Oreochromis niloticus: one gene and its partner. The protein of the gene in region 1 purifies or fractionates together with the protein of each later gene. This does not show direct contact. Links are inferred from orthologs where the notes say so. Each region holds a gene or a part of one and is shown on either strand. Other genes may lie near its edges.

Region 1 (16,704 bases):
CATTCTTTTCACAGATAAAACACGTGCTTGGTTTTGGGGTTTTTTTGCAAAACCGCTTTTATAGTATTTTTTTTTTTTTTTTTTTGAAACAGGAACTGTTATTACTACAGAATACAACTTCAGTGTGTGGCATTGCAGAAAATAGAAATAAGGAAGAAGTCACTTCTCTAATCTCCAAGTGGCTTTGTGACCCGTTCAGCTTCAAGTTGTCAGACCAGAAGAGCGCACTCTGGTCTAGGATATGCCTGGTCATAGTTTTTACTCTCTTGTTTTGGTAGTTGTGGATTTCATTGGAGATTCATCGTCGGGTTTTGAGTTTCTCCAGCAGTCTCGCCACAGACTTGTCCTTGCTAGCATTGACCAACGTGTCCCTTTTATGTTTATTTAGCCACACAGTAATACTGCTCCCAAAGTAATAACTGGGTGCCCCACAGTCTTAAAGGAAAAACCCACGTACGTGTCTTTACTCCAAAGTACCATGTTATTGCATAGCTACTAATCTCGAAAGCGTTCTTTGCTCTCTGTGATAAGCGTCGCAGAAACACTGGTGGTTTTAAGGAAATAATGACGAGCGATCAGTAACAAACAGCAGCGTGAACATTTGTTCAGAGAAGAGATTCCCGGGCGGGGCAAGAGTACCTAAGGTCAGATCAGAGAAATAAGAAAAAGGTCCTGAATGACACCTTTGGTTCAGAGGCACTCCGAGTTGTCAACATGCATGCGACACCCCAAAAAAACTAAATACATCCGAAACTCAACATGCTGAGTTAATTAAAAAAAAGACAGAAAGAGATCGCAAGGAGGTCCTTGATGATGATGGAATCCGATTAACACGGCAGCTTCAGTCCACACTTGAGTCATCTGAGCTGTCCATGTCCACTTCTTCCCATGAAGCCTTGGTGCGTTGCTCCCAGCTTCTGGCCTGGGCGATCACAGCGGGGGTCATGAGCGCCACACAGGCTGCCAGGCCGGAGACGTGCGCCTTAAACTCCGTGCCGTTTTTCCACTCGTCTTTGTCGGCGCTGTACACGTGAACGTATTTCATCCTGTTGCCTTTGTCGTGCGTACGCCCTCCCACGACGTAGATGTGATTGTCCAGCACAGCTATGCCGGGTTCTCCGTGGCCAGCAGGGAGGGGGGACATTAAAGACCAAGAGTTGGCTGTGGGGTTAAAGCACGCTACCTGAAATTGAAGAAAAAAAACAAAAAAAAACAACAGGGAGTAATAAATTACTCTTTATTTCATACAAGTGCTGCAGGAAGAGCATCAAAAGATGCCGCTCTGGCTCGCACAGAAATTAATTTAATTAGCTTGAGAAGTCAAAGCTTCTGGCCTGTATTAGTATGCAAAATAATGTCGGTCTCGAAAAGGCCGTGGAATATTTTCAAATTTAAATTCATGTTATAGGAGGAAAAAAAAACAGGTGAGCAGGCTAAAAAAGAGGCAATACTTTAAACTGCATGAGAAGCAGAGAGCCAACGATAAACAGCTGCGATCACTCATGACCATACCTTCAGGACATCCCTCCTGTATCCGCGCTCGTCATTACTTCCTCCGATAACGTACATGCGGCCGTTAACGGCTGCCATGCCGTGCCACGCCCGCTCCACCGGGCCCTCTGCGCACCCTGTCCAGCGATTGGCTGCTGGGTCAAAACAGCAAGTCTCTCTGAGGTACGCCACGCCTCGGCGCCCACACGTTATATAAATTTTTCCATCCACCACTGCTCCAGCATGGGCATACACCTGAAAAGGTAGACTAGTATTACACTGGATGTAGGTCTCAGCACAAATGTGAGTAAGCAGCGCCATCATGTGGACAGTAGAAGAATCATATGCACTCTTCATTTTCAATCTTTCACACCTTCAGGTTCCCATACCTCTCTCTTTAGAGGAGACACAAATTCCCATGTGTCTTTGTGTGGGTCATAACGCTCCACCGACTCCAGCTCGTGGTTGTAGTCTCGCCCTCCGATGGCATAAATATGGCCGCCCACCACACAAACACAGTGGTCGGCATGCTGCTGCTGCAGAGGCTGGATGGTGTGCCACTTGTTGTGACGGGGGTCATATCTGGAAAGAGCAGACGAGTCTCAGAACAGTGAAGAAAAAACTTATATGAAAGATGAGCTGATCTGGAAGCAAAGAGGAAACTCTATTAAAACAAAACAGAACCGTTAGTTTCTATTGATATTGTTTTAAAAATCTTTAAGGATTTAGCAGCTCTTCTGTGCAGCTCTTTTTATAAATCACACAATCCTCATCAGCAGATAGGAATTTGTCTTGTTGTTTTTTTTCCATCTTAAAGCAAAGAGCCAATCCCCCTTTACTCTAACCTGTACTCAGTTCACTCCTTCATTTGCCAATATTCATATAAAAAGGCACTGGCAACATTAGTAAATAATTTTTAGTTGTGGATGTTTGTGTGCAAAGTCTCAGCATGAAGTCAACTTTCTTCCCCCCACTTCACTTCTCCACCTCCCACCAGCCCTGTCAACTGGTGTTAAAGCTCAGAAATTACGAATATTCGGCTTTATTTATTTGAATCAAACCTGTATCCCCATTTGCATCTAATTAATGCTTGAGCCCTTTGTGGGGTTTAATGTTGGTCGCTGTTGTGGCAAACTACTACTAAAGATAATCTCCCTCACCAGAACAGCAGTGTAAGCACATCATATTAACCACTCAGACCGGTAAACAGGAAGAGCAGGTTCTCTTACTTAAAGAACATCTCTGAAAGACCAGAGTTCTTTGCTCGGGCTCACAATGATGTGAAAGCGTCACTGAAAATAACACCTGAGTATGAGGCAGTCATGCGGCAACATAATGGAGACAAGCCGAGAGCATCAAACATGGGAGGATGTCGAGCAAAAAAGGATGAAATCACAAAAGGTGTGTGAACCTGCTTTTCAAGCTAATGTGGTTTTTACGACAAGTCATTTTCTGCTTGTCCAGAAGAAAACTCCCACCCTGATATTTCTGCAGCTGGGTCAGCTGGGTCAACTTTCAAAGCTCCCAAATCACCACAGTATTGTGAATGCTGGAGGTGTGGATGTACCTAAACAGATGTTGCCAAAATATAAACTGTGAACATCATTTAAAAAACAAACAAGGAGAAAAAGTTCTTTAAGATAATGAATAACTGTAACTTGGAAAATCTACATTTCCATGACAACTAGGCAAACTCCATCTGCTGGCAAAGATCCTCAAACTCCTTCCTTCCTCTCCTTTTATCGTCTCGAGGATCAAATCATGCAAATGAAAGTCCAGAGCCTCCTGTAAGATTGCTTCCTGTATTTTTAATTTAAAAACTCAACAGTAATAAACTGATTAAGGAGATTAATCAGCTGCAGCTCTAACTTAACCACAAAAATGAACCATAAAGGGTGTATGATAGGCTCTCACCTCCAGCAGCGGGTCTCTGCATGAAATCCACTGGTGTTCATGTCCCCGCCAATAAGATAAACAAAGTTGTTGAGCACGGCGATACCCTGGTTGGACATCCGGGGAGTGTGAGCTGCAGTGAGACTCCTCCACTCCCCCCAGCTTGGGTGAAACACCTGAAACAGGTGATCGGTGTATGCGAGGGAGCTGGAACTAAACATTCCCCCGAAGCCCAGTATGCAGTGGAAAGTGGACCGCGGCTGGGTGAGAGGAGTCTGGAGGACAGGCTGCAGGAGCTCCTGTTCGTGGTAGCGCAGTGCAGCTGAAACAGAATCCTTCAGTGGACACTGCTTCAGTCTGTTGTGCAATCTCTGCAGCATGTGCTTTTCAATCAGGCAAAACCGCACTGCGTCGAGCATCTTGAGATTGTCCTTTAGGTGAGGGAGACAGAAACATAAATGCAACACTTTAATAGAGTGTAATTAAGATGTGTGCTTTATTTAGATAGATGGGTATAAATGCAGACACACCTTTGGACTGACCTGCAAATACACCTGGTCAGTTTCCACCTGCTCGGGACTGTAATGATAGTGAAGCGCTGCCTCGTACACCTCATTCTCGCTGTTCACCTGGAGCTCGTCGCTGCTCAGCGCCCTGAACACTTCATCCTGGGGCAGCTGTCGGTACACATCTGTTCGGGACAACGTCTGAATGTTGCTGAGCATGAAGCAGTGCACCTTGGCCTTCAGCTGTTGCAGTGCGTAGAGATCGGCCAGGTGATACAGCTCTAAAATGTTGTTCTCGTCCATCCAAGAGAAAAGGAAATCACAGCAGAAGCCTATGACATTCTCGAGCTGGAAAACACAAAAGCTGCACAGGTTAGCTGAAAAAATTAAAAAAAAAAACAAAATAAGAAAGAAGTAGGAACAACAACCTACTTGTACAAGTGTGGCAGCTATCAGGACTTCCTGCACGCACTCTGGGTCTAAGTCGATCTCTGACGTGTAGATGTAGTCAAGTATTTTCTTCATGGCCATGTAGGACACTCCATGAATTGCAATCTCCTTTTGCTGTGTTTCCCGGAGGCCTCCTGCAAACATCCCCCTAGTGGAGAAGGGTAATAAAGTATTATGCTGGGTCATCCTGGTCGCCCAGTAATGATAAGACTCACACCCTATCAAAAGGGAGAGACGTAGCAACTCAAAGAACGTTGAATTCAAATGTATGGGAGAAAAACCAAAAATTGTGCCGGCAGAGGGAGAAAAAGCCTTATTTTAGGATAAGCCAGCAAATTGTTTTTAATATAACTGATTATTCTATATCCGCAGTTTTTAGGTCATGGTTACCAGTGAAATGAAATTTAATATGACAATGCTTAATGGAAAATCATTATCTGTAAGGGGGTTAGAGGGCTACCTGTCAAGAGCAGAGCCTGAGAGTTTACTGACTCGATGCATTACCCTGAAAATATTCTGCAGTCCTGCACTGACTACAAACAAGCATTCAGGACAAAAATGTTGCATTGACTCTTGGCTTATGCAAACTGCAGGCTGAGGTTTTCAGTGAAACCTCTAAAATGTGTCTCTTACAGTTTTAGTTTGAGACATAATGTAGGAAAGAAATCGCAAGTAAAAGTAAAATTCAACACAGACCTAAAACAAACTGTAGCTATCTCACCTGACTGGTTTAACTAGCTGATGGAACATTTGGAGAGATTAAAACACAGATGCAACATTGGGCCTGATTGTGTTGTTAAAATCAGGCGCAATTTTGCAATCGGCTGAACCAGCTGCCCTACAACGAGTGCGAGTGAGTCAAATCATCGCTGTCTCTTCACAGCAAGAAGGTTCCTGCTTTGAACCTGCCAGCTGGCTTGGTCTGTATGTTCTCCATGTGAATTTGTGGTTTCTTCCCACAATCCAAGGACATGCATGTTAGATTAACTATTTAATCTAAACCAGCTCCAGGTGTGAATGTACGTTTAGTTGTTTATTTCTCTTTGTGGGAGTCCTGTGACGGACTGGCATCGACCCAGGGCGTACCCTGCCTGTCACCCTATGACATTTGGGACAGGCTCCAGCTCCAGAATTGGATAAGCAGTTAATAAAATGAATAGAAGGATGGGTTGACGAGTCCATCTTTTTATCTCTGCTTCACACAGACATCCGCAATGTTTCCATTGTTGTTAACATTTCCAGGCTGTTACGGAGTAACTCAAGTGAATAAGAACACTGTGAGTTATGCTCAGACACTGACTGTGATATGACGAACAGATAGCCAGGAACAAATACCAACAAGTTAGGTGCAGTAACTATGCTCACAGTAACACACTTGAAATTATTTGGTGGTGACATTTGTATTCCAGGCACAATAGCTCTATGCTGACCTTGTAAGCTAGTGGACTTAAAGGAACAAGTGACCCTGGTTTTATTACCACTAAATGTTTTCAAGTTTTAGGCTTTAGACGATAATAAAAACAAACCAGAGTTATATAACTAAGAAGGAACTCTTTAATTTTTTTAACAGTTAAATCACCTGCACAGAAGTTTTGATGTGTCTACAGTATGCAGGGAAAGACTAAACCACAGGTGCAGTTCAAGGCCTCTGAGGGCAAAGCACTGAGGTTCAAGAAATCATGTGACTGGTGCAGAACCGAAAATATGCAAACCACTAGTGATCATATGACAATGTTGCTGAGCTTGAGGATACATTTGGTTTCAACTGGACTGTGCAAGATGCCTAGGCTTTGTCTTGTGACATGAGGGTGCCACAGTAACTGGTCAGATTTGCTAGTAAACACATTAGCATATGTTGTGGTGTGTGTTATAGGAAACAACTTATTCATTCAGTAGCCTGGAGGTGGCTGACTATTTTGACGGTCAATGGCGTGCATATGAATGCTCTTGTATGAAAATTTTGGATCTCTGTGGACACAGGCACAAAAGATTGCATACAGTACTGTCGTGTGCACAGAGAGAAAACAGCAAAGTGAAGTCAAAGCAAAAGAAAAAATAACTCCTGTGAGTTTTACCTGAAATAATCACAGGAGGCTGCCAGTATTATACGGTGGGCTTGTATTTGGCGACCTTCCACAACCAGCACAACATCAAACAAGGTGCCACTGTGTCTGAGAGACAGTAGGCCGTCCAGCAGGCTGCAGAAATGCTCTGAACTTCTGTAGGACTGTCGGCGCAGGCGGCCCGATGACCCGGCGCGTCCCCCTACTGGACTCAGAGCTCCATCCTCAGCCATGAAAGCACAGCGGCGCTCGGGCTTCATCGCGTTTGTCTGCCTGATACATACATCACGCAAAGCTGTCTTCACTTTATTTCTAAAGTGGAATCAAACAGCACAGCGACATGTGGTGCAAACAGGAAGAAAAATGTAGCTAGAAGCTAAACAGGCGGTGTGGGTGACAATGCTCGCTTGCAAATGGCACTGCACAGTCAGTGTGAAATTACAGAATTATACCACATTAAATGCCCGATAAATGCCACACATGAAACCAAAGAACTGTTAGAAAGCATATAAATTACAAACAAATCTCCCTACCTTCGGCTAGCTGTCACTCCGCGGCAGAGCTGTTAGCTAATGTTACTTTCGTATAAAAGACAGCAGCCAAAACAAGCTAGAGGCTACTTAGCGCGCCAGCTAGTGCAACGCACTCTGTAACAGCAGGATGTAAAACACAACCAAAGCGACTGTACAGAGAAGAGTCCTCGTATTGTTCAAAACCAGACGGGTGTCTAGTACTACACGGCCTCAGGAACACCTTCACTTCGGCGAACTGAGTTGCACCTGATACATAAAAACAAAGTCTGTTTACTTTTTGGTATTTTGGCGTTAGATCAACTTCCATTGGTCATTGCTGTGCTATGTCCCACCCATTTCTGAAATCGAACCAATCAGAGAAATCTTTCACATTGCCGAGAAATAAAGCTAGAGCTTCAGCTTTTAAAACGGTACTAAGCAGTGTTCAGTGTGTGGACATGACCATTTTTTACGATGGGCCACATTAAGAAAAAAAACAAAACAAAACACAATTTTGAGAATAAAGCCGAAATGTCAAGATTATAGTCGAAAATCTATTTAGAGAAAAAAAGTCGAAATGTGGAGATTACAGTTGAAAAGATGGTGCAGAAAGTTGCATCTGGTCAGACATACGCACACACAAGCCTAGAAGAATGAATTGTACAAAATGAAATGGCTGGTAATGGACAGATGCGATCAATGGTCACACCTTCGTGTAACAAGAGGATGTATGTTGTATCACACGACAGCTGATGAGTTTTTTTTTCACTAACTCATCTACAACAAGGCATTTTGTAGAGGGTATACAGCAGCCGCATTTCGACTTTTTTCTCGAAATTTCGACTTTATTCTAAAAATGATCAGTAATATTATTTTTTTCTGAATGTATCTGCATTATATTAAATCTAGTCGTTTAAAAAAGAAATGAAAATGATATGAATAAAATGTTTCTTTAACACTACCTTTAAAGACAAATACATGCTGTGATATTTTCTGACACAAGATGGCGCTGCTTCCTTCTCAAACACCTTTGAAGCTTCTACCTGTCACACCTGCACCAGGGGCTTAGCATATTTACTACTTTGTCCCACTTTTGTGTTTATTTTGGTAAGGGTGTTAAAAAAAAGGCAAAAATGTTACACATCTACAGCAGCTCAGGGCAAATTGTGTACAATTTACTTTATTGTGTTTTGGGAACTCTTACATAGACTGACCAATTAAAAAGCAGTGGTTAGGCTATGGCTACACAATGCAAAAAGATAATATAAAGCTCTTCAAGCCATATCTCTTCTTTTTTTAAGCCTCCAGTATTTTTGCTCTCCTTCATCCCAGATTGATTTCCCACAGTTTTAGAAGCATGAGCTACCAGATAGATTTTCCAAGGGAGCAAGTCATGATGCTTTTTTTGTTTTTAATTTATTGTGGCTTCCATGTTTCTTGGGCTTTACAGTTTCATTCATCTTCTGCTGACATTTCACTTTGCATACATCATTCCCCGACACTCAGAGCAGTTATTTTTCCACCTGCAAAAAAAAGGAAGGAAAAATACACTGCTGGAATAATCCATCACTTGATGTATTTTTCTGTCCAATACACTGTACACAGCGGCACGGTGCATGGGGAAAATTGAGAGTGGGGCTTCTCCGAGGGGTTTCTGTCCCGGGTGTAGAAATGCCCTTTATAAACACCAAATGAATTTTTGTTTGCATATATATTTTCCATCTGGGTGAAGAAGTGCCCTCCCACAGTCCTGTCTATATTAGAGCCTGCTGCCTTTGTCTGAACAGCAAGCATACGCACCACCTATACACTACTGTATTTCTGTCAGGGTCATTCTTCAACCGCCAGACCTGAAAGACTCGAGCACTCAATTAATCAGTTAGTTGTTGTCAGATTTCCATTTATTTCTCTTGTGCCTTTAGGCTTTGCAGAAGTGATTGGACCAAATTGATTTAAAAAAAAACTGAGAGGAGACATTTTCATATTTATTTATTTATTTATTTTACAACAATCAGCTAATTGGCTATATAAGCAAATCATTTCATTAGAGGTACTCTGATCTCCAATACTGTGGTGTGACATCACTGTAACCCCCCCCCCCCCCCCCCCCCCCCCCCCCCCCACCACCACCACCACACACACACACACACAATAAAAATATGTCACCAGGCAATAAAGTTTTTACAAAACCAATATTGCCTCTTATTTGTCCTCTGACTTCAGGCTGATAATGTACGGCAACACTAAGTCTTTGTTTCATTTTAACTCCTAACATCAGGTGTCAAGCAGATCACACATATCACTTCAAAGAGGCATTTGCTTAATAATTTTCACATGTCTTGCTGATTAGATTTACATAATCACAGGTGGACACTAAGTAATAAAAGAGTTTGTGATGTGAAATATCCAAAAGCCTGCGTTTTTGTATAGTAAGTGCGGTATTACAGAAAGTACGGCATTCCATTATACCAGCACAGCAGCATCTCCTCACATCAGGAAAAAACTAAGCTAAACTGTGCAGACGACGCACATAGGAAGAGGAAGAGAAATGACAACATAATGAAAACAAAGTGGGCAGCATTTACAGAATTAACTGTGGGTGTATACCACAAACACTCAGTTATAAAGACATAAACTGGCCCAGTCCATGACCTTGAGCTTTTATTAGCAACCCTGTTACGCAAATCCCGCAACTATTATTAATCTTCATCAAAATAATCCTCGAAGAAGGCATTTTATGCTGCTGTTACTGAACATCCAGGCTGTTTTGCAGTAAGGACAGGTACAGCATGTCTTATGGACACAATGGACCCTAACAAGGAAATGCATCTCAGCAGGCTGATGGACAAAAAAGGAAAAAGTTAAAGTTAAAGTACCAGGTACGCTCCACAGCGCGGCCCCCTTATACTTTATCTGATAAGAGAAGGAGCTGGCAGACCAACAGACAATACAGCTGATTAGTTTGGGACAGTGGAGCTCCAGTGGTGCCATTCATTCTACCTGCGCCCCATCTAAAACGGTTTCCATGCCAACTAACTGCCATCTTCAGTCTGGCGCAGGAGATGTGAGTTGTAAAATGTGGCAGAAAAACATAAAAATAAAAAAAAAGTGAATATTTCTTTCACACGTGACTTGAATGCATAACAGTGGGGATCTTTAGGAATGGCTTTAAAGTTCTGATAACTGAGGGCTTATTTAGGAATCCAACATACACTTGAGTGCTCCACAGGAAAAATACATCATATAAAAACATCTCGATGGTGTTTGTAATCCATTATGACTAAATCATACGTCTAGACGCAAGATGTATTTGTTAGGAAGGTTTAGTTTGCCCTGCTTCATTGTACCACACTAACTGCAGGTGAATGAAATCCACAACAGGGCAATCTTTCCTTGTCAGCCTTGAGGGCACATCAGATTTTAGTGAGGACCTCTGGTGGCCAGTTGCCCGTACTATGAGAACCACGGCTGCAAAGTTTGTATCAGCTAAAACCTGTCGTAAGAGCACGAAGAATGCATGGCAAGACTGTAAAATTAGACGGCTTATAAAGGAGCAAGAGCGGTGCCAGGTGAATTGTGTTTTGCTCGAAAGGGTGGTTATAAACTGACAGAGGTGGCAGGTGCAATTTTCCCAGGGTTACTTGGCTGTTTGAAGCGAGCAATCAATTTTCCTCCACACCACAATCCTGCAAGACAAAACTTTTCAGTGTGTTGTTTGGTGAAGCCGGCCAACTGTCTTGGGGCGGCGGCTGCTCCGTGATGCACGGCTCTCCCAGAATGATGAACAGCGCAGGGTCATTTACACCGCCATGAGATTTGGACAGATCTGTATCAGTATTTTGTTGTCGTTATGAATCATGTGGTGAGAAATCACATTTGGACACTGTAGTGGGCTTATTTGGATACAAAGAAAAAAACAACAACACATTACTGAGGAATGATTAGAATTAACACAGAATGGGAAAATAGTGAAATTAACTGGTGACCATATTAGCAGCTGAAGTCAGCTAAAGCAGTGGCTCGACCTTCCTCGGGTTTGTCTGTCTCTGAGGTCCGAGCCAGCTCTGGAAAAGGCAGAGAGATTTCCCTGCCTCACTGGGGTAGTTAGAGAAAACTAATAATGGTGAAATATTTAAGCCTCCCAACTGTGTTTGCTACTGTGGGTGGAAGGATTTCACTCACTCTCGATAAAAAAGAAGAAAACAGGGAGTACAAGTCACTCAGTTTTCTGCACTGTTCACTCAGACATCGTAAAATGCAGGGCAGCAGCCTTATAGCTTATAGCTTCTTGCAGTGACAGACAGTGGGTGGATCATTGCTTTTTCACACATGGCCCACACTTGGCAGAAGCTGGGCATTTCCCTGTGGAGAACATTATACAAGACAGCAAGCAGAGGCTTGATAGCACCAGATAACTCAACTGGACTGTCCTCTGACACATGCTCTCAAAGGAGAAGCACAGCCTGCGTGCCATATTACAGTTTGCCTTTACTGCTAATGGAAAATCTAAGAAGTAAAAAAAAGTCTTTATGTCTCTGGTTTTGCATGTGTATGATATGATTTGATTGCATCATGCTGGACACAGCACAATCACACAATCGGTGATGCATGATGCTTTTAAACATTTCAGCCTCATACAGTAACACACGATGACTGGCATCCTCTCCGAATCTTGCAAAGAGGCGATGTAGCTGTGGCCAAGAACCCCGAGTGGGCAGATGGTCATATCTGCCATGTGTCAGCAGACTCGTATTGAACAAATGCTTGAGTGGATCAATAACAACTTGCTGTCCCCCCGCTATCATATTATGCTGCCTCTGAATTCAGTTTTCACCTCTTGCCATTGGGAGGAGGGCTATTTTGAGGTGTGACATCTACCATTTTATTTGCAGTGACAATATTAGTGTAAATTAGGAATCCTTCGCCAGCAACAAGGAACAGGGAGGCGAAAGCCAGGCGGCAAGAAAGACTGTGCATGCTGCACACAGACACGAGCTGAGCAGAATACATATGTGGCTTGAGAAAGCAGAGAGGACATGCAGAACATTTATATGAATTAGACGAAGAGGGTCAGAGGGACTAATGCCCGCTGCTAATGCAGCTGTGATTTAATAGACCCCAATCTCGGGCTCCTCACTTGTCTATTTATTTCTCTTTGCCCTCTCAGTCTATTTGTCCCCTCTGTTTTAAAATTAGGTTGCCGCATGATATGAAGAGCAATTCTATAAGTAGCTTGAATCAAAATTGAAATGAGTTTTATTTTTAGCGTTGCCTTATTTGTTACCTGGCAGACTTTCCATTATGGCTGTGGCTTGGAGACAGATAAATTAGGTGAATTAAGTAAGGGAAATACCAAAGATTAGAAGACTTATACAAATATTATATGTTACGCTACATTGGGTTTAGCTAAACTGCTCTTAGCTTGAGGCTTCACGACTGATGTGGCTAACAAATTGGTGACGTCACATGGGCTATGTGTCTTATATACAGTGAATTTTTTATATCAGCTCAATCACCAGAGGCGTTTGGCAGTGTTTAGAGATCCAGGGTAGTGATTTAGCTAATTTAGCTTTTCTTTAGGTTAGCTTAAGCTAATCTGCAACTTGGCAGAAGGTCATAACTTTATACAATCCCACTTTGTGCACTTCTGGGAAAAAACTAAGCATGCCTTAGACATGCTGCATGTCATCAAATTATTTTCACCAACTGTCAGCACTGCTATAAAAACAGACACTTTGTCAGATTGCTGGTCTGGAGCATTCAACTAATTAGCTCCAAGATCAGACCATGCAACGTTCAGAGATACACAACAGTTACATCTCACACTCTACAGGCCTCAGTCAGCATGTTAAATGTTAAAGTTCATGACAGTACAATTACTGAACAAGGATGACTTGTTGGGAAGGGTTGTCAGGAGAAAGCCTCCTCTCTCTAAAATGAGCGTGGCAGCATGGATTAGGTTTGCAAAGTTGCAACAAATCACAAGACTGCTGGAACAATGTCCTTTGGATAGACCGGAGTGCAGATGCTTGGCCATAATACACAGCGCCATGTTTGGTGAAAACCAAATATCAGCACAAACACCTCATATCAACTGTAAGCATGGTGGTGGAGGGGTGATGATTTGGGTTTGCTTTCCAGGTCTAGGACCTGGGCAGCTTGCAGTCACTGAGTCAACCATGAATTAAATCTTTGCTAAAATTAGGTCATGCAATAGGACAATGATCCCAGTCAGACCTATCTACAATAGAATGACTGAAAAAGAGAAGAATCAAGATGCTGCAATGACCCAGTCAAACCACTCAAATGCTGTGGTTGCACCTTAAGAGAGCCGTGTATACCTGAATGCCTGCAAATCTCAATGAATTGAAGCAATGATGCAAAGAAGAGTGTAAAGAAGTCATACTGCTGCTAAACATGGTTGTATAAGCTGCTGAAACGTGCACTGTCCTGAGAAAACGTTCTTCATCACATGACTGCAGGCCTACTCTGTACAGATCAGAAAATTTTATCAATCAGTTAAAAAAGGATTCTCTTAAACAAAACTATAACTGTGAAGGACAGTAACAATATATTCAAGTTTTTGTGAAAAACGTGTGGTCTCTCACCTGATCGTGAGGCATGTTTATGTTTCAATTACATTTAAAAGCTCACCTTTTTCTAACTTCTAACTCTGCATTAGCTTCCACTGACTTCCAAATGAAGCATCAGGCTGCTTCACATCTAGTTGAAATCATTTTGTCCTTTTTAAAATATTATTTTCGCTGTCCCCGAGCAGACCAAAACCAAGGTTGATGATAACAAAGCGAAACAGTGAAAACAAAGCCGTTAGCTGGAAGACACTAACAAACTCGACAGACTTGAGGGGACCGCATGCAGAGTCAGCTGATGATTACCTGTGGGCTCATCACAACACCAATGTGATCCATCTGTTACAACATAAATGTGTGACTTATTGAAATGCTGAACATTGTACTTGTCAGTGCTGAATAATGTGCACATCTTATATATGTACCGCCCACCGTGTGCTGCTCCTTTAAGTTGCATTTTAAGCGAAGAGCACCGGGGTGAGCTCCATGTCAGATGTGATCTGTGCAACTGATGAGGGTTGTTTGTCATCGCAAGCTACCTGAGGCATTGTGGCATTTGCTCATTGCTGGGGTTATTTAAAGCCTCGGGGGATTTGTAGAACTGTGTTGCTGTGATGGTGTCAAGGATCACTTCAGCTTGATTCATGTAAGAGGCTGCGATACTGCAGGGGAGATTGTGTCACAGTTCAGACAGGAATTTAAAAGCACAGCACCCAAAAAAGGCACATTCGATTCATATGTAGTTTACTGGAGGTTAGTAGACTTACAAGGCGGTGCGAACGACACAAAGGGAGCAGGCAGCGATCGGGTGTCCAACACAAACAAGCAACGACACGAAAAGCAGACAATAGAGGAGAAAATTGAATATAAATAAAGGTCATGATAGATTTTCCCTTTGTGGCTTTGAAAGCAAAGTTCATGTTTATCTAGTGTTACCATTTCATTCACATGATGAATATGTTTTTGTTTTAAAAAGTTATAATGTAGGATTGTTATATTTAAAATGTATTATTGTTGGCTATTGATTTTTAGGCCAAGGGTGTCAAACATAAGGTCCTGGGGAGTAAATGTGAAGGATACAAAATGTAAAGGAGTGCATAGACTTTAAGCTTTAAATCAGGGATGTCAAACTCATTTTATATAGTGGGCTATACAGCCCACTTTAAGTGGACCAGACTATCCTGTAATTATAAAGCAGAAAGTTTTTGTCACAGAAGATTTATTTTATGTTATTTATATTTTCTTTGACAAAAAAATCCCAGGAGTTTCTATAGTGGTGAAAACGTTGCAGAATGTGACATGATGGAATAATTGAGAGAATCTCCCACCAAACATTGGGTTGGCATCATTTTCCATTTCAATTATTGCATGCTTTGGTGTTTTTGTGCTTATAGGCCACACCTATGTAGGAGTGGAGTTTCTACTCTAGTCCAGCTATTTGGAGTTGAGTACAGGGAGTACCGGTAGTTGATTGGTAATGGTTTTAGGCCTTATCTATAAAGGAGAAAACAGGAAGGAGTTTTCGTTTTCTGTAGGGCACAGTTGCAACAGGGAAGCTGGTTTAAATTTGGAGACTCCAGTGAGAGAAGTGAATATTTTAAAGGAAAATAGTATTAATCTGGCCTGGAAGGTTTTGCTTTTAAAAAAATCAGATGACACTGAAGGGAGGACTCATTTTAATCAGGGTTCCTGTGGATTTGTTGTGATAAAAAGACTGGATTGGAAACTGTTGGTGTGCTGGGTTCAAGGAGGAAAAGCCTACTCTGGAATTGGGAGGTCACCAGTGAGAGGAAATTGCTCAAGACTTTGAGAGGAGGAGCTTGAGAGCTGAAGTCCCAGGATTTGATGTGGAAACCCACTCTAACAACACAAGGTTAACAATTCTGACTGTGCCGGCTGTGGGCCTTGGATTGCAGGCCAGAACTGCGTCTTCAGCATCTTGTGTACCCCATTTTCAGTTCATTTTCAGTTCAGTTTCATTAGAACTTATTGCTTTCTTGTATGGAGGCCATTTTTATGGCCCACTTAACAGAAAATAGGAACTTTACTGTCATTTAATTGTTTTCACTACTTTGGTGTATTATCACTGTGGGGAAGGTCTTTATAAGAAGGACAAGCTGCAAAATTTATGAAATTACAGTTAAATGTCCAAAATTCCTCCAAAGTTTCCAAAGACGTCCAGTGGGCCACATTGATGGCCTAAAACAAGGAATAAGGCGTAAGTCCAGTGGGCTTTGCCGAGCAAATTCTTGCCCCCGAGCGTCGTGTTTGACAACCCCATTTAAAGCTTTTCCTATTGTTAAATACCATTAAATTACTGTTCATACTAATTAACTAACAGATCAACAATTAAATGACAGGAAAGTTCCTGTTTTCCACTATTATAGTCCACAGTTTAAACATTTTCTGGGAACTAACAAAAACTTTACATTTCATTATTACAGGGTTTTTCCTGTAATTTTACACAAAAGGTTTATCATGTAGTTGGACTGGTATGACCCACTTAAGGTCACAGTGGGCCCCACCATTGTTTTAGGCCATCACATGATCATATGTGAGATTTGCTGTATTGTTAGGCAGTTCATATAATCATGGACCTTATCATTTAGAATTTGCGGAAAACAAAAGAAAAGTCATGTGTAAAAACTAAATACACCCATACGTTTATCACAGCATCAAATGCATAATATAAAATAACAGGGTTCCAGATTATGTGCCAGTGATAAGACCCTCCTTTGGAGAGTGACCGGTGGGAGCTGTCTTGTCCAAGTCTCTGACATCTAAGATGTGGCGTTCTCATTCTTAGTGAAGCGTCTGCTGCTTTCCTGCCAAAATACAGAGCTCTCTTAACACCTTAAAAATGGCAGCAGCTACGCACGAGTCTGTCAAGATGTCTAAATACTTTGAAAGAAGTCTTTCCCTTTTAAAGAAAGAAAACATTTTCTGCCAAAGTATTTTCTCAATCTGCATGTGGCAGATGCAGAAAGATTTCAATCATCTGCCGGTTTCTTTGGGACCTCCTACCTCTCCGTATTCAGCCGAAGAGGAGCCTCATACCAACTGTGAATCATGGTGGTGGAAATGTTATGGTTTGAGGTTTGCTTACTGCCCTCGGGGACTGGGCAGCTTGCAGTCACTGATTCAGCTAGAAATTCTGCATCATATCAAGTGTGAGGCCATCTGTTTGAAGGCTGAAGCA
Region 2 (16,411 bases), on another chromosome or scaffold:
GCAAGCATTCAGTCTGAAAACTCTCAAAACAACACATCTGATCCAATTCTTAGTCTCTTTTGTCATGCCTGTAAAAGCACTATTGTTTTGAATATTGACAGCTTTTGTTGGATGGCTAAATAGGATTTGAGTCTTTTAGACTACAAGTGTAGAAGAAATTTACCAGAGATTTGCCTAAATTTACTTAAAGCCTTTGTCAGACAATGGGAACATTTTATTTGGAGGCTGTTCATGTCCATTAACAGAACATTCATTTCGAATTCTCTCAAAAAGGAAAACAAACCAAAACATTTCCAAGATTTGGTATGTTTGGGTTGGTACATGCAGCTGTGCTTTGATTCCTAGACATGATCAACCATTACAGCCACCAGGCATTTTAATTTTTGTGGCTGTCTGGGCAAAGATGGTTTAGCAGAGTCTTGGACCATTGCAGGTTTTTCAGTGTGCGCTGGCATGCATTCTACACATTTCACAAACCTATTATACCTTTTAGAGATTTTCCAGTCTTTTACACCTTTTCCTTGTAATTGTGGAGCATGTTGTTTCCAGTGCCACTGCAAGATGAGTTGAGTGGTGCCTGAGTGGTTGACAGCACCAGCCATAGTGAGTTATTTGCATTGTTTTTTATTTTCATTCACCCTTTCAATGACCATTCACGGCCTACGTAGACAGTACAATTCCAAGAAAATTACCTCTCCATCAAGACATAAATTCTTCAATCACTTCAAATTGCTTTGTATTTGTTGGCATTTTCATTGAGTTTCAGTGTAGCCGGCATGTGCCAGGAAACTTTCCCTGTTTTTAAAATTATTAAAATAACAGAAGAACCAGGCGTTCGCTCAGCCTTGTAAAATGAGGCATACTGTGAGAGGAATCTTAAGCAAAAAACACAGAGAATAGCCTGTGTGCAGCACCTATTTGTCATGTAATGGCTGTGTGGCAGACCCAACTGTAGTTCTCAAGGGACAGAACATGAAATTAATTGTGGCTTTATTGACGTCTCTCACAAAAAATATAAAAATCTCAAACAGTAACTGGGCAAGAACAAGGAATCTAAATACCAGGATGTTTTTAGGGAAACTTGGAAAAGTGGAATGCACAAACACATGGGACACGGCAACAATGAACAGAGGGAAACAGAGACAGGACAGAGTGGCTGGAAACTACAGACATAAGGAGGGAGGGGAAGTAAACAAAACACAAGACACAGAACTACAGTTACCAAAATAAAACAGGAAGCCACAACCGAACGGGTAATCACGACATGGGGGAGTGACGCACAAGGACCAGGGAGCATAGAAAGACAAAGGATGAACACAGATGAGACTGGGACACAAAGGAACTCAAAAGGGAACTAACTAGAAGCAACCTTACATCAAAAGCAACTAAAACTAACAAGAAGTGTAAAGTTAAGTAATGGTTAACAGACTGAGCCTTGCGAAATAACATAAAGGCAAATGTAATGTCTGTAACCATGGAACAAATGAGAGAAGCCCATTAACCACAGGTCCAAACAGACTGACTGGTCGAGGTCATCATAACAAACAAGCACTTTCAGTTATAGAATTCAATCACAATTTCCAGTGGGCCAGCTTTTAGATATATAACAAATGCACTACAGTATGAATGCATATTTTCAACATATAGGTGGTGATAGTGTTCCAATCCTTTAACAAAACACAAAGACAAACTGCTCAGCAATCAGAAATACATCAGCAAAGTCAGTCAGTAACAACAGTGATATAATCCAAAGTGGTATACTTATCCTTCTCTCCTCTCTTCTTCCTGTTTTTATAGCCACTTTTCTTTTTTTACTTTGCCTTGCCTTGCACAATGTATACTGTAGACACCTGCAGAAAAACAAATTGTTGCATAGTTGCAACAATTTGCAACAATTTGCAACTATGTAAAAATGGATAACAGGTTCAACTGCATTTCTCATAAATGACAGAAAGCAAGGTCAGGATGTTCTAGAAATACACTTCTAAGCATCGCCATCAAAACACCTCAGAAAAATCATCTGTTTTTAATCAATAAAGTGGAAAATGATTGAGTACATAGTTGCAAATAAAACTTAGTTCATAAAGAAAATGTGTACTGTATAAATAAAGTTAGGCTTTGGTTCGCAGGTAGAACCATGACTTAAACATATAGTAGAATGGTTATAATCCACCTTTCACTAAATATAGTGCACATGTGGTCCATACAATGAGGAGGTACCCACTGAGTTATTTCAACTGGGCTTTGGAGCTATCATCCTGGCTGCCATGTTGGAAGTTACACTTTTGGCATACTTTTAAGGAAAATTACAGTCTTAGAGACTATTATAGTCTTTACAGTATGTATGCATTTACTTTTACTAAACTAAAGCAGTGCTTTTGTTTATTCACATTTGTTTGTGGGAGCCTGGACGCTTTAATAAATGTACATGCTACACAGGTAAATACAGGTAAAATCTAATTAAATAAGTTTTGCAAAGTGTGAAACTTTTCCAGTTTTTCAAGAAAATATATTTTTCTTAATGACATGAGTGGTTCCAGCCTTTCTACACAGGTCGGGGGATGTCAAGTTAAGTATTTTTAGATTTTAGGTTTGAATAAAGATGGAAAAATGCCACATTTATCTGGGGTTTTTTCCCTTTCCATTGTGATGGTTAAAATGTAACATAAACCCAACAACAGTATACTAATTATAAGCTCTTTTTTTATTTTACATTGATTTTTTTTCTAAATTTATCCTTATTAAGGATGGAGAATAATTTAAAAAGAAGTGCTACTACTTCACAGTTGTTTTCAGCTTCCGCAAGACTGCCTTCTTGCATTACACGCTATTTGACACCAGGTGGCGCCACAGCACAAAGTTGTGTTGTAATGTCCAGCAGTCGTCGCTAGAACTGCAGCTTTTTTTTTTTTTGTTGCCAAAATCAATCCCAGAATCCTCACGCACCGGCGGTGTATTCATTTGAATGGTAAAACTGTGAAACGCTTGCGATCGTGCACAGAGGGAGTTGCTTTAGTGTTTAACTAGTTTTTCACGTTTTGGATTCTACACATCTGAGGAGCGATCGTAACACCTCACAAAATGAATCGGTTGGTATTCAACTCGGGGGCGTACATGATAAAAGTGACAACTTTACCTCTAACGAAGGCATACGTTCACAAGGCTAACCAGCTAGCTAGCTCGCACTAGCGGCCCAGCTTGTTGCTCTTTACGTCTCCCGTGTTGTCTTGTGAGTTGAGCTAAATGCTAACAGTTAAAGCTAACCTAGACATTACAGTGAGATTGTGGACATTATTTTAATGGGAGGCGTCACGAAATGCAACTTTACACCTCTTTTGTCATCGTTTATTTTCACACTTGCAAAGAAGGAAACTTACAGCCCTAACTTTTACAGCATACAATGTTTTTGCGACTTTCAGCCATATGAGCTAACGGGAGCTAACGCCTTTGCAACTAAAATTGAGCATTTTGGTTTAGTTTATCTTGTTTCACTGAGCTAATTTGAGTCAAACTGCTTCATCTGGGAACGTATGCTCTTGACATTTAGCTGGCCTATTCATAGTCGTGCCACAACATAGTCCTGGCATTTGGCTCCTTAACCTCGACTTATACCTCTCAATTATTTTCCAATTTGTTTCTCCAGCAGTGTTCCTTATTATGGCAGCTGGTAAGCATGTTTGGCAACGGGAAGTCCTGAAGGTCAACCACAAAAACTCCAATGGCTTTCTGCGACCCAGCGTGCCTAGTTCTGCTGAGAAGAATATGAAGCAGGTATAAGGATATAATGGGAAATACCATGAATAATTGTGTAAACAGCTGCCCATGTGTCTTTTAAATCCTGGTGACTGTGAAGTACAGTTCAGTGGCATTGTAGCAGGAGTGGCCTCATCCCCTATCCTTTTGTTTTAGGTGGATATTATTAATAAGGAAGAATTAGATAAAGACAGGTGAGTCTCTGATCCACATCTGAGGGGGTTCATCAAATTATGATCACTCACTGCCTGTGTCCCACAGATCATCCTTGCATCCGCACTAATATGTTTTTGTTTTTAAGCTGTTTTAATATGAAAGTAAAATCTCCTTTTGTACTAAACCCTCTGTAAACACATTGCCTTAACCACTCATCCACACTGGGTCTGTGTGCTGGTGTAATTACGAAGCAGTAGGTTAGTTGTTTTTTGAAAATATATTGAAGAAGGAAAAGCAAAAGCAAATAGTAAGACCAGAGATTTTTTTTTTTTTTTTTTTTTTTGTTTGCTTGGATCAATGATAATAGGGAGCTGTCGCAAAGCAAATACAGCAACATATTAGAGGGCTACTGGGAGCTGTCACTGTATGACGCCATGGAAAAGATACACATGAAAAGCACGAAATCATAGAACGTATGTGAGAGTGACTGTGATATTTTGGCTTTATAATTATGACTGATAAGAGCCCACAAAGAAGCAAACATAGGTGTCTGGGAAATGATGTTGACTGGAGGGGCAGAAACAAAGTCTGGATGTTTAGGGGTCTTAAAATTAACAAATGTCAACACAAAAAACATATTAGTGTGGATGTACAACCAGTCACTGAACCATTAAAGCACCTTTCATTTACCATTAACCATTATCATGGTGGCTTTAATTTGTATTTATGTTTTTTTTTAACCTGTGACCGCTTTGCATCTGGCCAATCTCAACTTCTCCATTTGGCAGATTTCAGGTGCATTACAGAGTACACAGTCCAGGAAAAGTGAAGCGGGCGACATCTTGCAAAAGAAAGAGTTGTGCATTGGCGGAGGTGGGCGTAAAGCTGCACCGCAGATCATCAGATGTAGGCCGTTTATGTGACCCCGGCATGGCCAACAAGGAAAATGAGCTGACCTGCTCCGATGATGTCCGGGCCTGTGGATTTCCGGTGAACTCTGCAGAGGCCTCCAAGATGGCGGGGGCCAGCTCCAAGTACAGTGATTTTACTGAGGTGAGAAACAGAGCTCGAGCACCTCATTGTTTTTATTTCGTATGAAATATGAAGGCTTGTTGATTGAAAACTGCAACACTGAAAACACTGAGTTCCAATTTTTTCATTGTTTGTCTATACATAGCTCTCAAAGGACCATGAAGCTATGACCCAGGTTCTTTTTGGAAGAAGTCTAAGACTTAAAGTAGCCCTAACACTATGGCGAAAAAGTGCTAGTGAATTAGTGGCCTACCTAATAAGGTAAAACACTTGTGGCTACTGTTGGTTGATGGTTGTGTTTATTCTGTGATTACACACAATTTGTCATCTTCACCTCACATGTTTGTGGTTTCCCAGAATTCAAGACACAGGTGTGCTGCTTGACTGCTTACCTGTCTTAACAAACAAGTAAGTAATGTTATTTTTTGTTTGGTTATATACATTTTAGCTTTTGAGTGTTTCAGCTTTGCCTCCAGTGACCGTGCTGCACATTCATCCAGTCAGCTGTTAATATACAAAGATTGTACAATTTTTAAAGCAGGAAATAGTCATGTTTTAGTAACAATCCTGAAATCGCAGTATACAAGCATGCATAGCATGATACCTATATGGAGCTGTTGAAGCATACTGGCAAAGTGAAAACTGTAATGTTTCAAAATTGTTCAGGTGAACTGCAAATCGGTTTATAGTGGTTCGTTTTTTGGATGTGATTTAGTTACTAACAGGGCTATGGTAAAGATTGGCTACACTGCTATCTTACTGTCAGCTGGTAACACCACGTTTTGAAAAGATGTTTTCTGATGTTAATATAAATTTAGGCCATCAAAACAATCTTAACCTGCAAACCAGATTAACCAGAAACGTTTAAGTTACATAGCTTATTGGAATATAAAATATCCACTTTTTTCCTACTTTTAAGTTGAAAAATAGAATAAATAGGGTCGATGATTTACTGGGATATAAATCAAACTACTTAAAACCAAACATCACTGCAGCTCTGACATCTTGTTAGATTTTTCTGTTGTTCTGCAGTGGACATGTTGGCCATTTTTCTTATTTTTCTTCTTCATGCCTGATTGCTGACGATCACCTCATTTGAACTTGTTTTATCTCCACTCTCATCAGCCTTCAAACAGAAGCACCATGTTTGTCACTTGGCTGCTGTGTTGACCTCATGCCCCAAGTCAAAACAATCCTTACCAGTAAATATGAAGAGTAAGTTGCAATTCCATCTAATAATAGCTATCTTTTTTTTTTTCTTCTTGATCATTATATGAAGGTGTGCTGAGTTTAAAGCAGTTAGATTTGTTGTTTATAAACCTAAAGATGATTGTGTGCTCCTCTAGGAAGTTTAAGCTTGTCTGATAAATAGATAATGAACAGAGGAGAGCGCAGCTAAAGCCTCTTGAAGGAGTCGAGAAATTCTTTTGACTTGTAAATCTCATATGTAATAACATTTTGAATTCAACTAACTGTTCTTTTTCTGACAGACACATAACTGTGGGTTTACACTGGGTTCAATCCGTCATCAGGAAATGGTGGCCAGAACTTTCTAGAACTGAAAAAAGACTGCAGGACAGTTGTGCAGAAGACAGGTGAGCCCTGTATGCTTTAATAAACCTAATGCAACCTCCAGAGTTTAAATGTAGATGTTTAAAATCTTAGTATTTTTCTAGTTTAACTGTCTGGTGAGTAATTCAAAATAAATCTTGGAAAGTTGGATCAATTTAAAGAAAAGAAATAATGCATGGGGATAAAACAAACAGATATTTCATTTTTAAGATGCATATTTGAAATCCAGTAAATGTTTTTAGTTATTCACTTTTGTGTTGTTCTTATGAATATAATCTGCTGAACTCAGGCATGCTAGTTGGCCGTGTTGTCACAGGAAACATCCTGTTGCTTGCTTTCATTTTTTAAACATTCGTCATCCAGGCAGGTACGCCCTTATGTTGGATCATAGGCAGTTCAAAAACAAAAAGATGATGTTATCCTTAAACATTTCCACCAAGACTGTGCCAAGACTGTATCTCTTTTGCACTTTCCATGTATTGGATCAGTAATTAAATCAGATTAGATTAGATTAAACTTTATTGTCATTTTACAAGTTGCAGTTCAAGGCACCAAATGCAGTTAACCTCTAAACAGAAACCAGATAGACAATATGCACAGGACATGAATATAATACCAATATACGTATAATGCGAATATACAGAATGTGAGAAATAAAAATAATTACAGTGATGTGATGAATGAATAATACTATAGCTAATTAAGGTTATTTATCATTGTCAGTAATCACCATCAGTAATGTTTGTGTGTTTATTGTAGGAACATGGAAGTCATGAAGCAGCGGCTAAAGGACTTGTGGAAGGAAGGAACCCGATTATGTTTGGTTCCAGGAACTACGGGAGAGCTGGCAAAGGTGAGAAACATTACAACTGTTCCATCCCTCATAAGGGATTTTTTTTTTTTTTTTTTTTTTTCACCGTGATATAGGATATAGGTCAGAGTGAAGACCGCTACTGTTGTAGTATGGATCATTTATACTAAAGCAAACCATTTGAATTCTTGTTAAAAGTAAATGATAATGATATAATAGAGCTGCATTAACATTTTTAGAAATGAGTGTTTTGTCACACTGATATTTCTGTTGCAGAACTGTTGTCAGGCTCCACAGGTGCTCCTGCTGTTCTTTCACCCTCTGTTGATCTTGGGTGGATTCAGCAACCACTCCCATACTAAAAAGAAAAGACAGATCCACCATAAGCTTTTGTGGTTGATCTTTTTTCAGTCTTCACATCCTGTTTTGTGGTGGGATGAGAAAAAAAATAAAACCACAAAAGATTTGTTTTATTAAATCTTTTAAAAGGAAATGCATTCACTAATTTTTACATGTTTGTAGCAGCTGAAATGTCAAATTAGCATCAATTTAGTTTGAAGTGTTGAGTGATCCAGTTTATGTGCATTTACTAGCTCTGACGACTTCTCATGTGCTATCTCTGCTTTGTGTTGCAGGGCATCGAGGCTTATCTGTTGCAGCTGCCCTGACAGTTGTCAATGTAGCACTCTCGGGATGTGACCACTACCGTCAATTATGGCTGTGTTTCAGACTGATAATGGTGCAAGAGAAATGGACCAGTTGCTTTTGCTACTTCAAACTCAAACCTCTTACCTGGGACTGAACTTGACAATTCAAACACTTCCCTCAAGTTTGAGCTGGAAACTCTGAAGGGAGGGCCAAGAGAGCCTTCCTGGACAGCAAATGACTGCTTCACATTGAAGTGGATTGTCTTTTTTTGAGGGGCATGTTTAGTGGACCTCCATGAGACTGGGTGTAATTTCGCTCTATGAAGTGCCAAGGTCTTTGTCTCTCACTACACCACTCTCTTTCATGGAATGCAGATGCACTTGTGGATGTTGTTGATGTTTTGCATCTTGAGTTCTCCGGATGAAGGAACTTGAATCTGCAACAGTCTTAAGTTATTAGAGCTTGTTTTTCTTGTTTTTTTTTCGTTCTGCTTCTTCCTTTGACATTTGACTGTGTAATGTAAAATGTAAAAACAAGTGATTCTTTTAATCATCTTTTAAATAAATTAAAAATGCAAAGTTTTTGTTTGTTTTTTGTCTCCAGATTATCAAATGGTACTGGGATGATGTCCTGTTAAACTGCAGCAGAAATAATCCCACAGTTTTTTGTTTTTTTTAACTGGCTAAAGCTCATTAAAATTTTGAAAATACCGTTTCGGAATAATTCATGCCAAAGTAACAATAAAGGTAAAATTATCTTGCTCACTAAATTGAAGTGGCTAAACAGGTTTTTAAACATGCTCCTGCAGCGTTAATTTGACCTCGTGTTCTTTTTTTTTTCTTTTGTAAGAGTCTTTATTAAAAATGGCTTGGTTTTCAAAACTGCATTGCTAAACGGAAAAAGGAATTATTTTATAATACTAGTTTTGGGCTTTTTCAAAATTATAAAATGTATTGGCGTGGGAAACCAATGAAAATACTTACTCTGCTTTCTAGTTCAATTTAAAATTTCAATGAGTTTTATTTTGAGTTTTAAGAATAAAAGGGAATCTTTGTGCAAAAAACGAGCGAGTGGCGTTTCTGGTTTGTACAATAAAGTTTTTTGAAGTGACGTCATTTTCCACAGAGACAGCTGATGCAGCGAGGCTTCCGCTCCTTCGCTAAACAGCTCTCGACTACATGTTGATGCAGAAACGGTGAAAAACGATTTTAGTTTATTAAAGACGAGGCACTATGTGGCACAGGGAAAGAATACCGCTGCTACTGGCTTTCGTCCAGTCTGTGCTCGTAGTAGGGTGGTGTTTTACTGAAATGGAAGCGGGGCCTGGCGCAGCTATGTCGACGCAGACTAACGGAGATCGGTTCAAAATCGAGGGAAGAGCGATAGTTCCCGGAGTGAAAACACAAGACTGGGTCTCCACGGCTAGAGTGCTGGTAGATGGTGAAGAACATGTGGGATTTTTGAGGTAAGAAATATCCATAGTTATACCGGATAACTAGCTAGCATGGTACGTGCTACAATATGTGCTAATGCTACGTAGCATTAGCACCTAGCCATTGCTAGCTGGTGGTTAGGGTCAAACTCGAAGTCAAACCCAATAACGACTGCATCTGCCGCAGGCAGATGGCAGGTACCAAATGTTGTAGATCATGTACAGCTTAACATTTCCTTTTGTAACTCTTGTCCGAGTGCCAGTCAATTAGCGTTTCATTTCAACATGAGGCCTTTTTGGTCCTGCTACAGCGGTAACCACAACACAAAACGTCCACAAGAGACTTGTGTATATATTATCTATTATATTTCCCCAGCTAGCATATGTTTATGAGAAAACACCAGTACTAGCACTGGTTTGCTGCACAAACATGTGTTGAAGGCATAACATATTATTAAGCATGTTCCATAGTATTTGTTTGTCATGTGTGTCGTAATGTACAAATAAAAGTAATATATCATGTTATTTAACCCTGCTATCTTTAACCATGTCACCATATCATCCGTAATAAAATAATCATTCATGTTCTTCTTAGCTCACAAGGGTTTACTCTATTGTCCTGGCAGTAGTTTTAATTATTGTATTACTAGTGCAGTAGTAGTTTTTTTAACCTAAGATACGAATATAAATGATGGCTACTACATAAATTTATCTGTGATAAAAGTATAAATTCAAGGATACTGGATGGAGCAAACTTAAAAAGACATTCTCAGGTTCTTGTTTCTACAAATGCATTATTATTAGAAGAAGAAGTAGTAGCATTAGTACTGTTGTTGTTTTATGTGTCTCACTGTTAGTTCCACCCCTACTGGCTCTATTAGTATATCAAATTATGTACATAGATTGTGGCCAAAGGAATGATTTTGATGAAGACAAATTTGGTTTACTGTTTTGTTTTGTTTTTCACATACATTAAAGATAGAGAAGTAGTCACTTATAACTATACAACTATAACAAAAACGTATTTAAAAAAATAAGTCTCTGATTATTCATAGAGTTATCACTATATTTTCATTTTTAATAGGTTATTTGCACCACGGAATGTAACAATGCACTTTTTCATAGCTTAGTTTATTTGAAAAATTAAACAAAAAATAAAACATTTACATTATGTAGTAGGTAAACACAGACAAAAAATAAAACATTTACATTATGTAGTAGGTAAACACAGACAAAAAATAAAACAATGTATAATTAATAGATTGTATATAAGAAACTCATCATTTACACTTGAAAAGAAGCATTAATTAACTTGCTGATGGCACACATACATGTAGTTATATATAACTATGCATTTATATGTATACTAACAGACATACTCCATAATCTTTATGCCAGCTTTTGTAAACTATTTATGTATATACTCTCACACATGCAAGTATATTTACATATATACATACATGTAAATATCTTCATACACATAAATGCAATTTTGAATTGACATTTATATACCACATGAGCCACTAAACATTGTTGTACGGCACAGATAAAAGCACAAAAAGCTTTCACTGTTGTCCATACTGTTTAAAGATAAAACTTTATCTTCACATTATAGCCCTGGTTCCCTACCAGAAAACATTTTCTCTATATTTCTCAGTAACAGGGACCCTAACCCTTATTCAATTCTTCATGTAGTCCTTGTGCAGTTTAATATTTTACAAGGTCCAGAAATTTTAACATGTTTTAGTATTTCTTTCTTTCTTTTTATATCTCTACCATAATGCAGTGTGTTTCATATTTCAAGTTAATAAGCATAATACTTGAATTCTTAGATACTTATAAACCTAATTAGGTGACCTTATGGATGTCCCGCTTTCAGATATTTAATTGAAAATTATTTTTATGGACTTATTGACTGGCAAGACCTTTAACATTTTTGCCACATTTGTTTATTTATTTGTCTTAACCATTTGTATTTCTGCTTTAGTAAGATAGTTTGACAATACTTTGCTATTTAGTTCATTCTCCATTTATTTCAGGATTAATATTTTTAGGTTGAACTAATATAGGTGTACTTTTTTAAATTATAAGCAGCTGCTGTCTTGAAAAATTTGCTTTATGTTTTTGTTACAGAACCGATGGGAGTTTTGCTGTGAACGATGTCCCCTCTGGGTCTTATGTTGTTGAAGTTGTTACTCCCACCTATAGATTTGACCCTGTCCGTGTTGATATCACATCCAAGGGTAAAATGAGGTATGGCCACTAGAGTGAAAAACCCAAAACATGCATTGTTCATGGTGTGTGAGCACACTTTGAAAATTAGTGGTTGGCCTATGGCAACTCTGACCCACTGAAACAATGTGTGATTTCACAGAGCACGACTTGTGAATTACATCAAAACTTCAGAGGTAATTCGCCAGCCGTACCCTCTTCAGATCAGGAGTAGTGGACCTCACAGCTACTTTATGAAGCGAGAAACCTGGGGCTGGACAGACTTCCTTATGAACCCAATGGTAAGAAAATACATTGAATAAATGGGAATTGCATGTGTATGTCACAAAAGAAACATTTCCTAGGATCCCACCATTATCCTAATACTCTGATTAAATATATGCTTTCTACCATTTGTAGAGTCCATTGGCTGTAGCCCCATTTAGAGAACTACTGATGTTAATGAATTTTGATAAGCTGGTACACAATACTGACGATAATGAACAGAAGTTTCATGAGCATAAAGTAATATTTCCATTCCTTAAAGTGTGCTTTTTTGCTCATTTCTACTGCATATTTTTATACTCATGAACTCTTGAGCAGCTTTCCATCAATCAGAGTTGAAAATAAACCTGATTTATCTTGGGTAGTGAAGGCCATCCACTGTCTGACACAAGCTTTTTTTTTTTTTTTTTAGCTCCTTTCCTTTTTAAGGTTGCATTTTCCTTATGCTAGCCTTCTTTTTCCTGATTGGATGGCCCACAAACTCAAAAAGAGAATGTTGGGCATCTGTGCTGAAAAAAGGAACTGTAAAAACAAGTTGTCAAAGAGGAATTCTTGAATGAATTTGTTACATGTCATTTCATGTCCTTGTTGCTCCTGCAGGTTATGATGATGGTTCTGCCCCTGCTTATCATTGTTTTGCTACCCAAAGTGGTCAACACCAATGACCCAGAGATGAGAAAGGTATGTTCATTGTGCTGTCTCTCTGAGCTAAATGGAAGCTGTTCTGGTCGCTTTATTAAGGATAGCACTTTCTCTGAAAGAACAGACTTTGTGATGTTTAAAATCCTAACTCTATCCTTGTCTCCTTTTGAAGTGCTTATTGTGCTAAAGTGTTAACTGTGACAGATATGACTGCTTGTGATACATTTTTAACATCAGAGAGAACATTGAGTCTGTACGCAGCCTTTCTCTCTCCATAAACAGCTGTTCATTCTCTGCCTCCCTTTCTTTACAGGAAATGGAACAGTCCATGAACATGCTGAACCCCAACCCTGAGCTTCCTGATGTCTCTGAGCTCATGACCAAGCTCTTCTCTGGCTCCAAAGGCTCCAGCAAGGCAGGCAGCAGCAGCAAAGGCACCAGGCCAGCTGCCAAGAGGAGGTAGTACTCTACATGCCTCCTAAAAATCTGCCTAAAACGAAAAGAGCTTGATTTATATCATGGAAGCAAGGTTTTAAAGTGTCATTTTTTTTCTCTCTCTCTCCCTCTCTCTGGGTTTATTGTACAGATTTCGTTAATATTAGATGTTTTGAGCACATCTGGATTTCTAATATGCTATTACAAACTGAGCAAAAAGGTTTTTTTCTTAGTTTTTTTTTTTTTTCCCCCCATATTGCACTGATAACATTTGTTGCGAAAGCTGTTATTCTTAATTTGCGCGATACTTTCTACAGGTGACCCTACTACTCATCAGTCTTTTCTGTGCTAAAACCTCCATTGTATATTTTCCACTGCTGCTACTTCCACTACCTGAAAGAGAGCATATATACACAATTCAGAGATTTTCTTGTTTAAATAACTTCAGTAATACGACTGTGAATGAAGAGAAATTGAATTTTAAGACAGATAAATTCTTATTTAAAAACCTAGATAAATAAATTGCCATGGTATATGACAGCTGTGTTTTTATTTCACACCATTCATTTGTTTGAGTGAACACGTGACTTTCTCATTTTATGAATTATTGTGGTGAACTGTATGGTTAGAATTCACACGCTGTACATTATGTGCCTGAGGTGTAAAAGTTAAAATGATAATCACTGGAAGTACAAAGAGAGAAATGTATGGTTGCTTTTTAAAAGCTCTACAAAGTGTAACTGGTTTTACTTTGTAATAAAATAGACATTAAAGTCCATAGTTAAAATCATTATTGTAGAATGTGTTAGCACAGGCTGACAGGACGTGTTTTAAAGTGAAACAATAATGAGTAATGTTATTAAATATAGAGACTGACAAAATAAGCTCAGCTCAAGGTTGAGTCACTGGCTTTCTCCTGAACTTTGAGCCATATATGTTCATCATCAGCATTTATCTATTTGTTGAGGAGATAGTCCTTTTGGCACAAAAGCTCCGTTGTTGCTATGGTTTTGATTTTGGCTTCAAAGTTACCCAGAAGTAAGAAAGAGTGGGTTTTTGTTTTGTTTGCATCATATGCATCTATACAAGATTATATTTACTGTATATTCCCGCTGTTTCACCGATCAGTGCTTGGCAGTGGTAACGCAAAAAGATGAATCACCTTGTCTTCCCTTTTTCAGGGGAAAACATTCTGGCCCATCAAGGTAGGAGAAGCATGTGGGTCAATACAAGCAAAAAAAAAAACAAGTTTGCTGGCTGAGTTGAATTCCAATTAACTGCTTAAGCTTTTGAGTCTTAGTGTTATGCACGAGGGCCCGCTGGGCACAATCACTGTCAATAATAACCACAGGGCTCGAAAAATGCTTTAAAGTCAGATCAGATGTTTATGATGCACAGAATGTGTTTTGGTGAGAAGTAGTGAATATAAATATAATCTAAAAGTTATCTCTCAAGCACAGAGTAGACAAAACATGTCGTGAATTAGGTCAACTTGCATGCAGTTGCATCTTTTTCCAGTCATGCCCCGTCCACAGGTAAATGGTGATGGTGTGACACAATTTAAAATGAGTAGTTTTCATCAAATTGCCTTTTTCCAAGGTTAAGAATGAGTTGCTGTGTGAAGAATGCGCATGGCAGTGTCCTGTAGATTACTCATGCTAAATGAGTTAAGTGAAAGCATCAAAATAAAAGAACGCTTGTTGTTTTCCCTAATACTTTTCAAAGTTTCGATCATGACTGTGGCTCTTAGTCCAAAGCAATTTAGTGCTTATTTTGACTCTAAATGTTTTATTTAAAAGCTAGAGCTAAACTGCTAAAAACTCATTTTTACCAAATGTGTGGAAATATTAACTGAAGACTATTTTCAGCTGCATTTTGGTGTTTTAGGGTTTCATGGTTGCATTGTGTATTTGAGATTAAAGAGAAACTACAGTACCAGAGTTCATTCAGCACATCTACAAGCCTATTTCTGCCACTGGAGGGGAAAGGAAAAAAAATGCCACCCATAATTTAAAATTTGGGGTTATCTCAAAATTTTAACTAAAGTTTAATATTTTTTTCTGAATTCTGACTTATTTATTTTGAAATCCTGAGATACCGAACTCAAAATCTTTAAACAATGATCTAATATTTTGACTTGTGGTGGGCAAAAAATGTTGTGGTGTTTTTTTCCAGTGGTGGAAACAAGCTTCCATAAACACAAAGGTGAGTTCTCCAGTGAAATAGTTTTTAGTGTTTCAGTGACGCCACAGGTCAACTGAGCTTTATCAGACTTTGAAAACGCCAATTACTGTTAATGAGATCAGTTAATTAATGGCTTTGTTCTTTTCATGTGGTGTTGCATTAGAGCAAAGAAACTTTCAATGCAGAACAACTGTGCTGACCTGGACTCTTGGGACCAGTAAAATCTTCGGTGACGTCTGGGATTTGTTTAGAGTCATGTCGTTGGTACATGGCACATTCGGGTAGTCAATCAACCATTGGAGGACGGTAACGATTTGCCTCACCTCTCAAAGAAGAATTATTGACAAATGAGATAGTCTTCAACTTGTGTGTTGGTCATTAAATGTTTGCCTTGAAGTTTGTATTTTACTGTGTATATTATTACACAAAGACACTTACAGAAGTGCAGACAGACAGTAAGCACAAGCTCCTTCACAAAGGAATTTTTGCCACTATGAGCAGAACAAAAGGCACAGAGTTCAGATCAGAAAGATACATTTAACATTACATCATAATAGACAAAAAAAGTGAAATAATTTACAACATCACTCATCTTTTTACAGCAAAAAGAAGACAAGAGGTGTCCATAACAATCTTAATCTCATATTACTAGTGTTAAACTAATGCAACTGTAAATGCACATAAATGTACCGATTAGCCCTTATACACATGATCAAATATCAACAAGATAGAAAACAGGAAAAGACATTCACTGAACAATAATACACTGTAAACAATTTACATTCACCATTTGTGAAGTGTAAAATCTGACACAATCTGTGAAATATGTTATTCCTGTTACAGCTTTGTTTTGAAATATGTGAGCTTATGCTATGTCATTTATATACAGAGTAACAGAATAAAGGAGAATTATGAATTATATGAGGTTGAAAGGATAGGATCAGAGATTTTGACTCCAGGATATTTCACTAAAAAAGATTGTTAGAACCCCTGTAATCAGGCTTGAGACAGGCTTGCCATTGAAGGTGGGGTGGTGGTTGTTACTTGGGCCACTGGTTTGGAAAGAATACTATTTTATTATCATGTTTGATTTTTAATTTTTATTTGGTTTTATTTGGTTTCTTAACCAGTGAACCAGTTGAATTTTATTTTATTTATTTTGCAGGTGTCCCCTTGCAGAAGTTACAGTTCATGTGTAAATTATAAACACAGCTTATTTATTATCTTGTAAATTAGCTATATTGAAAATG

What was found.
Region 2: the proteins of klhl22 (region 1) and emc7b purify together in Homo sapiens (co-immunoprecipitation; 3 studies listed by BioGRID and IntAct, counting the BioPlex papers as one, with this or other methods). This does not show direct contact. The link is inferred for Oreochromis niloticus from reciprocal best matches to the Homo sapiens genes KLHL22 and EMC7.

What each region holds. Positions count from the first base shown.
Region 1 is NC_031977.2:10,200,173-10,216,876, forward strand, and holds the start of klhl22 (kelch-like protein 22), read right to left. Parts: upstream 7,228-16,704; 5' UTR 6,937-7,227; intron 6,716-6,936; 5' UTR 6,664-6,715; coding exon 6,416-6,663; intron 4,489-6,415; coding exon 4,323-4,488; intron 4,239-4,322; coding exon 3,915-4,238; intron 3,816-3,914; coding exon 3,406-3,815; intron 2,074-3,405; coding exon 1,881-2,073; intron 1,747-1,880; coding exon 1,513-1,746; intron 1,184-1,512; coding exon 842-1,183; 3' UTR 1-841. UniProt on the Homo sapiens protein: Substrate-specific adapter of a BCR (BTB-CUL3-RBX1) E3 ubiquitin ligase complex required for chromosome alignment and localization of PLK1 at kinetochores.
Region 2 is NC_031980.2:16,341,355-16,357,765, forward strand, and holds emc7b (endoplasmic reticulum membrane protein complex subunit 7), read left to right. Parts: upstream 1-9,204; coding exon 9,205-9,437; intron 9,438-11,537; coding exon 11,538-11,657; intron 11,658-11,778; coding exon 11,779-11,917; intron 11,918-12,500; coding exon 12,501-12,581; intron 12,582-12,855; coding exon 12,856-13,005; 3' UTR 13,006-13,768; downstream 13,769-16,411. Other genes in the region: katnbl1 (KATNB1-like protein 1), read left to right, coding at 3,658-3,771, 3,910-3,947, 4,698-4,962, 5,087-5,202, 5,299-5,349, 6,067-6,156, 6,432-6,536, 7,273-7,366 and 1 more. UniProt on the Homo sapiens protein: Part of the endoplasmic reticulum membrane protein complex (EMC) that enables the energy-independent insertion into endoplasmic reticulum membranes of newly synthesized membrane proteins.